Macaca mulatta: one gene and its partners. The protein of the gene in region 2 interacts with the protein of the main gene of each other region in a biochemical or structural test. Links are inferred from orthologs where the notes say so. Each region holds a gene or a part of one and is shown on either strand. Other genes may lie near its edges. The genes, in order: CTSB, CSTA and CTSL.

Region 1 (3,650 bases), on a different chromosome or scaffold from region 2:
TTGCATTGCTTTACCAGCATGTTCCCGTTAAAACGGCAGGCCTTTTGTATCTGCACTGGCTGGCACATTTTCTTCATCTTTGTCTTTGCAAAGGCCTAGATCATGCCTCACACCAGTGGATGAACACGCAGGGACCTTGCCCTGGGCAGTGCTGTAGGGACTCGAACCAAGGAATCTGGACAGTCCCCATCCCCAAGTCCTGTCTTAGAAATCCCTTGCTCCAGATGAACGGTCTTTGCTGACTGCATCGATCTCTTTAATATTTTGCTAGATGGGAAACTCCAAAGCTCTCAGCTCTATATAAAACAACAGTTTGACAAAGGAGGATGATTCTGGCAAGAAAAAATGACTGTAAAGATGGTAGTTCTTAGCACAGTCCTTGCCCATATTATTAAAAGATGTGTTTCCACTTTGATAGTGATTTCCCTACCACAGGAGACTGGTTGGGGAGTCCTGAACCCCTTAGCCGGTATCTTTCTCATCAGCCAGCACTGGCCGCCACCAGCCCGCCCTTCTCCCTCACCTCTCCAGGGTGTACCTGGAGCAGCTGTTAAAACTCTTTAAGCCGTGTAACCCTTCTGACAAACCCTTACTTAGATGGAATCCCAGTGTATAGAGCAGATGAATCTGTCACCTAACATTAAATGTTTTACAAACTAGAATGTATTAGAAATTCTATTTTTAAAGACAACCAACAAGCACATTTTGTAGGAATCTATTTTAATATTTACTCAACAGATTTGAGTGTGTTGGGCCTTCAGAAATATATTTAATATTCCCCAGTGTTGTGGTAACCCTGGAGCCTTCTGATGGAGCAGCAGGGTCCCTCTGGAAGCTGTTTCTCCTGCCCGGAGGGTGACCAGCGGAGTGTGGGGGGTACTGTGGGGTGCGGGCCAGTGGCCTGGTCTTGGTCTCAGCCGGTTCTTTTCAGGTGTGTACCAACACGTCACCGGAGAGATGATGGGCGGCCATGCCATCCGCATCCTGGGCTGGGGAGTGGAGAACGGCACACCATACTGGCTGGTTGCCAACTCCTGGAACACTGACTGGGGTGACAATGGTGAGTGGCGGCCCCTTCCTGTCGAGAACAGGGAATTGTGAGCCACACACAGTGCCCGTCTCGGCTTTCTCTGTTCTACCTGCTGCACAGCCTCAAACCCTAGACCTAAGGCCAGGCTGTGAGCTCCTCCTATGTGCCAGGCACCCAGGAGTTTCCTTTTGCTGCAAGGGCAGACCCCGAGCAGCTTCAGAGCCCACGCCTGCCACAGTTCCCACAGCATCGCGCCAGATGCCGTGATGGGGGCGGTGACGGGGCAGGAGGGTTGTCAGTGGAGGTGTGCCCCACAGCTGCCTCCAGAAGCCTCATGGTGCTGAGGGCTATGCTACTGGGCAAACAGCAGGAGCTGCCAGGGATTGGTGGTTACTCCCAGGTCTTTTAGGGATGAGTCTGAATATATTGATTGACCCTTGTCACACTTAAAAAGCACCTTACTTTTTATTCCCAGGCTTCTTTAAAATCCTCAGAGGACAGGATCACTGTGGAATCGAATCAGAAGTGGTGGCTGGAATTCCACGCACCGATCAGTACTGGGAAAAGATCTAATCTGCTGTGGGCCTGTCCTGCCAGGCCTGGGGGAGTTTTCCCTGAATACAGTCAGGGATCGGGGTGAGATGGGGGTAGAAATGCCTTTTATTCTTTGAGTTCACGTAAGATACAAGTTTTAGACAGGGCTTGAAGGACTGGATTGGCCAAACCTCACATCAGCCATCAGAGCTGTCTTCCAAGGGGAGACATCCCAAATCCTGGCTACATCCCAGCCTGTGGTTACAGTGCAGACAGTTAGGCCATGTGAGCCACTGCTGCCAGCACAGCACGTCCTCCCCCTATAGACCAGTGCCACAGGGAGTGCCTGCTGCCCCACCTGACTGTGGCCCCCTCCCCGATCCATCCATCTCCAGGGAGCAAGACAGAGACCCAGGAATGGAAAGCGGAGTTCCTAACAGGATGAAAGTCCCCCCATCAGTTGCCCCCAGTACCTCTAAGCAAGTAGCTTTCCACATTTGCTATAAGATCAGAGGAGAGATGGTGTTGGGAGCCCTTTGGAGAACGCCACATTCTCCCAGACCCCCTGCATCTATCGAGTTTGCAGTGTCACAACTTCTCTGATCTTGTGCTCAGCATGATACTTTTTTAATAGAAGTCTTCTCTTTTGTGCACTCTGCTAATCATGTGGGTGAGTGAGTCGAACAGCTGGGAGCACCTGTGCTAGTTGTACAGATTGCCTCCTAATGGCGCGGCTCAAAACGAAACCAAGTGGTGAGGACTTGTTTCTGACCCACTGGTCTCTACCACCACAAGGAAGCTAGTTTAGGAGAAACCAGCTTTTACTGTTTTTTAAGAATTACTGCTGGCCGGGCGCGGTGGCTCAAGCCTGTAATCCCAGCACTTTGGGAGGCCGAGACGGGCGGATCACTAGGTCAGGAGATCGAGACCATCCTGGCGAACACGGTGAAACCCCGTCTCTACTAAAAAAATACAAAAAACTAGCCGGGCGAGGCGGCGGGCGCTTGTAGTCCCAGCTACTTGGGAGGCTGAGCCAGGAGAATGGCGTAAACCCGGGGGGCGGAGCTTGCAGTGAGCTGAGATCCGGCCACTGCACTCCAGCCTGGGCGACAGAGCCAGACTCCTTCTCAAAAAAAAAAAAAAAAAAAAAAAAAAAAAAAAAAAAAAAAAAAAAAAAAAAAGAATTACTGCTTCACCCTGTCAAGTTAACAAGGAATGCCTGTGCCAATAAAAGGTTTCTCCTTCATCTTGAAATCGACTCTGATGGGATCTCAGAGATCATTTGTCACTGCCTATAGACTTGTGGCTGCCGTCTATCCTCATCCCTGCAGAGAATTACGTCCTGGAACTGCATGTTCTTGCGACTCTTGGGATCTCATCTTAACTTCTCGCTGCCTCAGCCATGTTTTCAACCATGGCATCCCTCCCTCTTAGTTCCCTGTCGTCCTCGTCAACCTTCTAAGTCCTTGGTAAGCTTGCCCTTGCTTAAGAACTAACAACACAGCTGTGCTCTGTTTGTTGTTGTTGAGAGAATCTCTGTCTGTCGCCCAGGCTGGAGTACAGTGGCGCCATCTTGGCTCACTGCAACCTGCGGCCTCCTAGGTTCAAGTGATTCTCCTGCTTCAGCCTGCCGAGTAGCTGGGATTACAGGCACTCACCACCATGCCAGGCTACTTTTTGTATTTTTAAGTAGATACGATATTCACCATGTTGGCCGGGCTTGTTTCAAACTCCTGGCGTCAGGTGGTCCACCTGCCTCGGCCTCCCAAAGTGTTGGGATTACAGGCGTGAGCCACCATGCCTGGCCTCTCTTTTTTATCAGCCACAAATCCAGTAGCAGCCTGAGGATTCAGCTCATAAAATAGGCCTGGTGTCTTGGTGATCTCACATAACCAAGATGCCATCCCGTGGAGAACCACATCCCCCTGGATGCCCTCCAGTCTTGGTTTGGGCTGGCGTCAGAGCCTGTATACAGTATTTTGAATTTGTATACCACTGGTTTGCATTGCTGGTCAAGAACTCCAGTGCTTTGCATAGCCCTGGTTTAGAATCCTGTTACAGCAGTTCTTGGAAAGAACTGTGCAGA
Region 2 (3,598 bases):
TTAAGGCTCTTGAGATGGAGAGGTTATCCTGGATTATCCAGGTAAGCCCATGCAACCACAGGGTCTTTATTAGAACTATACCCAAATACTGCACTCTAATTAGTATATTGTTTTCCACAGGGGTATAGGTCAGCAATTCTGAAATTATTTTATGTATACGCTAGAACTGAACAAATAGGCAAATACATTGCAAATAATAAGAACCAGGATTCTTCCTCAGCGTTTGAGAAAGGAGTTATAATAAGGAAACGGGAAAAGCTAAATAAGTCCTGTGGTATTTGATTTTTAAAATTTTATCTATTTATTTATTTATTTTATTTTATTTTATTTTATTTATTTTTTTTTTTTTTGAGGCGGAGTTTCACTCTTGTTGCCCAGGCAGGAGTGCAATGGTGTGATCTCATCTCACTGCAACCTCCGCCTCCCAGGTTCAAGCGATTCTCCTGCTTCAGCCTCCTGAGTAGCTGGAATTATAGACACCCAACACTGTGCCCGGCTCATTTTTGTATTTTTAGTAGAGAAGGGATTTTATCATGTTGGTCAGGCTGGTCTCAAACTCCTGACCTCAAGTGATCCACCCACCTCGGCCTCCCAAAGAGCTGGGATTACAGGCATGAGCCACCACGCCCGGCCGTGGTATTTGATTTTAATCAGAGGAAAAAATATATATATGTGTGTGTGTGTGTGTATATACATATACATATACACACACACACACACATATATACACATATATATATACACACATGCACATACACACACATACCCATACACACACATATAAAATGACACACACATAAATGTGTGTATATGCACACACATACAAATGAGTAAAGATGTGTGCACATGTGTGTGAGTACACATATTATTTTGTAGCCCTTTCCATTGAGTGGGCCTAGAAGCAATGACATCTAGTAACAAGAGACACAGCACCCAAATCTTGGGTCTTAAATACCATTCTCCAATAAAAGGAGTGGGGACTCCTTGGAGAAATAGTTGATTCCAGCGAGGAGGCAAGGAAACTTCAAGATAAACCTGGAACATCTGACTCTACTTGTGTAGAGTCAGAAAGTTAGGAAGTGCTTATAAAATGATAGAGGTGTGTTGAAAGGACACGGGCATCAGGTGAAGGAGCTCCCAATGGCCAAATCTAGGACATTTGAGTAACAAAATAAAGAGTAATGAATTGTAATCCACAGAGTAAAATAAATATCCATGAGTCATATTAACATAAAATAAGTAATTGACTACATGAAGAGAAGAGAACAGCTCTTCCTTACAGTAGAATTGCAAATAATAAATGTACAAGAAATTACTTTTTAAATTACCATTTGGCCAATACCACAATTAATCATTGTTGTGGGCAAGAACCGTCAATGGATGCTAAAATTCATGAATGCAAGTACAGCGAGAAACAAGACTCCTCACAAGACACTAACTAATTACAAAGGGAAAAAAATGGTAACTTTACAGTGGAGAAACCTGGCAGACATCCTAAGTGATCAAAATTAACATCACCAGTAATGAAATGTAGCTCCTGATAGGATGCACTTAAGCACAACATCACTTTTGTGCTATCCTTACAAAAATGTGTAATACTAACATAAGAGGAGATCACACAAACCTAAACTGAGGGACATTCTACCATTTAACAGGCCAGTATTCTTCAAAAACATCAAGGTTGTGAACAACAAAGGAATGAACCCAGATTGGAGCAGAAAAGAGACATTTTCAGGATAACTGGCAAAATTCTGATAAGGTTTAGAGACTACTTAATAGTGATATACCATGTTAATTTCCTGATTTTGGTGATTATACTATGTTATGTAAAATGGCAAAATTAGGGGAACTGTAAATGATATAAGAGAATTCATTATACTAATTTTACAACTTTTAAGTCTGAAATTATTTTAAAATAATGTTTTAATCAAGTAGTAATTATTGCTCTACTGATTTTTGTTAATCAAAGATATATATAACTCTTAGAGTTTAACAGTCAAAATGCTCCTATATTGCATTACCACACTGAGTTTATGTGAATTCAGCCTAAAGCAACAAAATTTGATGTTTTAACCTATGTAATTGTATTAAAATAGGTGTTTTCTATTGAAATAATAAAAATAGCTCATAGATTTCATTACCATCTTTGAAGACTTTTAGGAGGATGAGGTTCCCAGATGTGTACGTCACATAGATGGAGTCTAATATAGCTTTGATTATTTGTTTCCTCTTTTCTTTTCTTTAGGTTAAACCACAGCTTGAAGAAAAAACAAATCAGAGTTATGAAAAATTGGAAGCTGTGGAGTATAAAACTCAAGTCGTTGCTGGAATAAATTACTACATTAAGGTTAGAGTTCAGTACCTACTTTAGCGCCAAAAGATCTATTTCTCATTTTATGTAAAATGTTCCCTGATTTCCCTACCATATAATTGCTTCCTTACAGTTGTCCTAAATTAAGATGCCTAGCATGATTCCTTCCAAGTGGTAGACTCTCAAATTTGGTAAATGATGTGATGCCATTTTTTTTCTTGTGAATTCAGAAAGCTTTATTACATTGATTCTTGATTTCTGGAAATTGTATAGAAAAAGATTTCAGAACAGTTCAGGGCATGCTGGATTTGTGGCTGTGCTGCTTCTTAGGTAAGGAGGGAGGATCACGTCTCATCTGCCTGAAGGCGTGGGGCTGGACCACATGGTATCTTGAAGCCGATTCCACCTCAAAGCTGTATGATTCTATATGTCTAAATTAAATAAATTAAAGTAACGACTCAAATCATTAGCTGGGAAAATAATTTAAACCTTTTTTGTCCTTTAAATAAGCATTTTGATTAATATAATGTAAATATTATTTTGTAATTCAAATTAGTAGATTTAACTTATGGCACTCTAGGTATAGTTTAAAGCAGTGGAGTAGTTAAAATAGTTTAAAAGTTAATTATATAGCTCTGTCAGAAAATTACACGATGCATTGATCCAGTTCTAATTGAAGTTACCAAGATGAAACCAACTGAACAAGTCAACCATGAATATTTAAGAGCCATTTTTGTCCTTATGTATTAAGAAGATGATAATTCTGATTTTAAAAATAAAAACAAATATTAAAGTATGTTTACTTAATCTTTACTTAACCATTCGACCAGGGCACAGTGTGGCTTATTTCTCTTTAACAAACAATTCAATTAAAATATAAACATTTTAAAAGACGTTTTCAGCAAAAAATAAACATAAGTAAGTGGAGCTAGTCAGCTTAGCATAAGAAAGTTTCAGTACCGAGCTATGTATATGGATCAGCCCTGTTCTGCCAAATGTGAGCTCCTAGTAAAGACCAGGTCACATGTCACAGGGAGCTTTGACCAGGTCACGGGGAGACACATGTCACAGAGGACCCTGCTGTATCCTCAGAAAACAATGGCACCATTTCCTCCATTTTCAATCTGATTTCTTCATGGCTGGAAAAGAACGTTTTCCTGTTAAAAATGATTATGTGCAAAGATAGGAAGCATTCCATCAACATTAGAATATTTATTTTAATAATTTATGATTAATTCAAATGCATACATTTCACGTTACCACATATTACATTTCACATATTACCGC
Region 3 (4,120 bases), on a different chromosome or scaffold from region 2:
TGGTCTCAAACTCCTGAGCTCAAGCCATCTACCCGGCTCAGCCTCCTAAAGTGCTGGGATTATAGGCGTGAGCCACCCCACCCAGCCCTAATACATGAATTCCGAAAAAGGTATCTGTTATCTCTGAAAAGTGTTCCACCTCCCAAAAGCTGCGCTGGAATGACGACAAGGAGCTCCACTTACTGTTGCCTCATATGGATAGGATTCCTCAGAGTCCAGGCCTCCATTGTCGGCAACATACTGGAAGGCATAATCCATTAGGCCCCCATTGCAGCCCTCATTGCCTTGAGGCCCAGAGCAGTCTACCAGATTCTGCTCACTCAGTGAGACAAGCTTCCCAGTTTTCCGGAACATCTGTCCTTCAAGAGCACCAGTAGCGCTAAAAGCCCAACAAGAACCACACTGACCCTGAAGAGGGAATAAAAAAAGCTGTCATTCACAAAAAAATAGTAAGACTTTGACAACAGCTCACACATCTGAATACTGTTAAAAAGTGAACCGCACATCGCTTTAAAGTCTACCAAAACAAAGATGTCAATCACTTCTTGGCTTTCCTGGGAAGATGGGAGGTCTGGCCCTGACACTGTCTCACCTGATTCTTCACAGGAGTCACGTAGCCTTTCTCTCTCCAATCCACAGATCTGGGGGCCTCATAAAACAGAGGTTCCTGGAACACTTTCCCCTTCCTGGGTTTACGGTTTTGAAAGCCATTCATCACCTGCCTGAATTCTTCACTGGTCTTCAAGGAAAAGGAAATAAAATGTTGAAAAGCAAGAGATTACTTTAGTAAAGAACTGAGGGGAGGAAGCACAGAGCTCGGCGGTCCACAGCACACTCACCATGTCTCCAAAGGTGTTCATGGCCATTGTGAAGCTGTGTTTCCCTTGGCTGTATTCCTGATTGTGCAGTTCAATCATCTTCATGTTCTTCTCCCACACTGCTCTCCTCCATCCTTCTTCATTCTAGAGGCAAACATGTAACTGATGCTCTTTATTTCTACCTAAAACCCAACTCATGCTCACCAAGTGATTCTGCAGACAGAGATGGAAGAGAAACCACGGCCAGGGAAGGCTTGACACCTCTGGGGATGCTGTTCCCCAAATTGAGACAGAAAAGGGATGAATGCCCATACTGTGCTCATAATCGGTGCCATTAGGTTATTATATTAGGCTACTGGTGAAAGCTGGCCTCTAGAAGCTACTCTCTGTCTAAAACTTCTCAACAGCCAAGACTATTTTTTCTGGGGAAGTTTCAGATACCACTAACCATGCCGTATAATCTGTTGTGCATCGCCTTCCACTTGGTCCACTGTGCCTCTAAACTGTGATTAAATGTTAAAGTAGCTGAGGCAATTCCCAGGCAAAAGGCAGCGAGGATGAATGTAGGATTCATGTTTCAAAACCTAGGAAGGGAAAAGAAATGAGGATCTGATTAGACTGATCCTAAAAAGCAATCTTACTGCCCCTTGAAAAATTAGGGCCACCATCGTAGAATAAAAATATTTAAATTATCCTTCCAAGCATTTACCCAAGGACTGTGGAAGAGGCCAAGGATGTGCCTGGAGAAAAACAGGGCACATGGAGGTGCTGGATGGACCCACCAAAATGAAAAGCAGCCCGGCTAGAGCTGTAAGAGTTTAAACAGTTTATGGGATGATAATTTAGGTTATGAGAAAGGTATGAAAGCACCTTGTGGGTGAGAAGCTTAAGGCAACAACTAGGAAACCAGGAAACAGTTGATCCAGGTTTTGTACCAATGGCAAAAATCCCAGGTTTTGTGCCCAGGCAAAACCTCAATAATGATAAGGTGGGATTCCCAAGTAGTGACAAAGAGATCCCCAAGAATTAGGAGGCCTTCACACATCTTCTTGACTAACAAACAGCTGAAGCTGAGATATGTTTTCCAACCTCTCCGTTTTTGTTTTTTTGAGATGGAGTCTTGCTCTGCCGCCCAGGCTGGAGTGCAATGGTGCGATCTGAGCTCACGGCAACCTCCGCCTCCCGGGTTCAAGCCATTCTTCCTCAGTCTCTTGACTAGCTGGGACTACAGACGTGTGCCACCTTGCCTGTCTAATTTTGTATTTTTAGTAGAGACGGGGTTTCACCATGTTGGCCAGGCTGGTCTCGAACTCCTGACCTCAGGTGATCCGCCCACCTCAGCCTCCCAAAGTGCTGGGATTACAGGCGTGAGCCAGCGTGCCTGCCCCAACCTCTCCTTAAAAGAAACCCTTCTGAAATGCTTTCCCAGGAAAAACTGGGAGGGACAGCACACACTGCTCCCTCCTTCACTCACCTGGGCCTGTGCTGCCGACACCCCAAATTGCTCCCCTAAATCAGGGACGGGGTCATATGGCCGCACGCGGGAAGCCAGCGCCCCGCAGCCAGCTGCCAGGGCTCCAGGCGTGGCAAGGCCGGGGACGTGACGCCTGCGCCACACACAGGCTGCAGCGGTCAGAGGATGTTTGCGGTGACGCCAGCAGGAGCACCGCTGTCTGGCGTGCGGGAACTGAGCTTCCCTGTCTGACCGGGCCAGGCCATGAGTCGGCGCGGCGCGGCCTGGCTGCGGTACCTGTGTCCACCCGGCTCGGAGGCTAGCCTGCCCGCTCAACCAGGGACCCCGCCTGCGTGGTCTCCGCGCTTCCGCGGGGTCCTTAATTGCCCTCCCCCGCTTCCCCACCTTAAGGCCGGCAGAGCTCAGGGCAGACGCTCTCGTTGCCAGGGCTGGTGCACAACTCCTCGACCGCGTCCTCTCTTCCAGTCCCTGTCCGGCCCCAGCTGGGCCTGGCCGGCAGCGCTTTCCTGCTGCGGTCGTAGCTGCGCAGGCGCACTCCACGGATGCCGCTCTTGAGGTTGCGGAGGTCGCGGAGGTCGCGGTTCTGGCCCAGCTTCGCCCGACTCTGCCTCTAAAACCTCGGGTCTGGGCTCCGCCGGCACCGCCCCACCGCCTGGCTGCGCTACGATTGGCTGTGCCGGCAGCTGGGCGGGGCCTCTGGGTACTCTGACCCCTGGCGCTGTTCGTGGCTTGTTTACTGACTGTCCCAGAGCGGGGCGCGCCTGCCTCAGTGGACTTGGGGGAAGCGGAGCTGGTACCCCGAGGCTGCGCAGAGTAGGGTCGGGCGTCTCCCTGGAGCGCTCGAATCAACTAAGTACCCGACTTACTGCACTGGGCAGGTGGCTCCTGAAAAGACGTTTACAGCAAGCCCAGTATGGACTTTCAGCCTAACCTAGCTTTTCCTTAGTCCTGGAATCTTTGGTCCGCATAGCCGAGAGCCAGTGTACTCTAGTCCAGTGGCTCCTGTTTAGTCCACAGCAAAGGTGGGGCCGGGTGGAAGAACGCAGAGCCCGCGGGCAGAAGCCTTATCTCCCACTTAAGGGTGGGTGCAGCTGGGCTTTAGAAGAATCTGGTAGGGAAAGGCGTCCCCAAAACACGAGATGCTATCGTCAAGACCAGACCCTAGGAGGGAGAAGACTGGCTGCGTCTCCAGAGAGCGCGGGCGTTTTGTCAAGCATCCTTTCCAGACTCCTCCATTCAGAGATTCTTCTTTCTCCCACGTCTTTCCCAAAACCAACAGAAAGGAGTTATTTACAGAAACATTTGGTTGACAGGAGAAAAGCAGTTGATAACATTAGAAGCTGCTTTTATTCGCCCACTCTCTAGGTTATGGATTATATCTTCCTTGGTAACCAAGTCGTTCTCTTGAGATTTAAGAAATTTAATGACATTTAATGTCAGGATTTAAGATACAGAGAATGCAGAAATGTTGTAGATAGAGGAAAAATATGTATCTTAATCTAATGTATATATTAATTTATATAATTAAGCATTTAACGAACAAAACCCACAAACATTCTAAACTTTTGTCATTTTATTTTTTTATTACATAAAAACATTCGTCGTAGAAAATACCTTTCGGGGAAAAAATAATTACCTCTGCCTTTTCCCCCATAACCTTTTCGTATGCATATTTTGACTTTGTGAAAAATGAAGTCATTGTGTATTTCTGTTTGTCAGTTGAGTTCTACTGAAGATTAAACTGATAACTCTTTTAGAAGCACAATCACCGATAATTTTTTAAGTGGTAAAATATACCTAACGTAACAAGTACCATTTTAACCAATTT

The links.
Region 1: the proteins of CSTA (region 2) and CTSB form a complex in vitro, tested with the Homo sapiens proteins (3 studies listed by BioGRID and IntAct, with this or other methods). The link is inferred for Macaca mulatta from reciprocal best matches to the Homo sapiens genes CSTA and CTSB.
Region 3: the proteins of CSTA (region 2) and CTSL form a complex in vitro, tested with the Homo sapiens proteins (2 studies listed by BioGRID). The link is inferred for Macaca mulatta from reciprocal best matches to the Homo sapiens genes CSTA and CTSL.

Annotation. Positions count from the first base shown.
Region 1 is NC_133413.1:9,446,684-9,450,333, forward strand, and holds part of CTSB (cathepsin B), read left to right. Parts: intron 1-931; coding exon 932-1,080; intron 1,081-1,484; coding exon 1,485-1,670; 3' UTR 1,671-2,421; exon of another isoform or gene 2,422-2,434; intron 2,435-2,665; exon of another isoform or gene 2,666-2,769; 3' UTR 2,770-3,650. UniProt on the Homo sapiens protein: Thiol protease which is believed to participate in intracellular degradation and turnover of proteins. Cleaves matrix extracellular phosphoglycoprotein MEPE. Involved in the solubilization of cross-linked TG/thyroglobulin in the thyroid follicle lumen.
Region 2 is NC_133407.1:161,426,885-161,430,482, reverse strand, and holds part of CSTA (cystatin-A), read left to right. Parts: intron 1-2,245; coding exon 2,246-2,347; intron 2,348-3,598. UniProt on the Homo sapiens protein: This is an intracellular thiol proteinase inhibitor. Has an important role in desmosome-mediated cell-cell adhesion in the lower levels of the epidermis.
Region 3 is NC_133420.1:118,468,615-118,472,734, reverse strand, and holds the start of CTSL (procathepsin L), read right to left. Parts: upstream 2,878-4,120; 5' UTR 2,677-2,877; intron 1,403-2,676; 5' UTR 1,393-1,402; coding exon 1,267-1,392; intron 963-1,266; coding exon 840-962; intron 740-839; coding exon 593-739; intron 409-592; coding exon 184-408; intron 1-183. UniProt on the Homo sapiens protein: Thiol protease important for the overall degradation of proteins in lysosomes. Plays a critical for normal cellular functions such as general protein turnover, antigen processing and bone remodeling.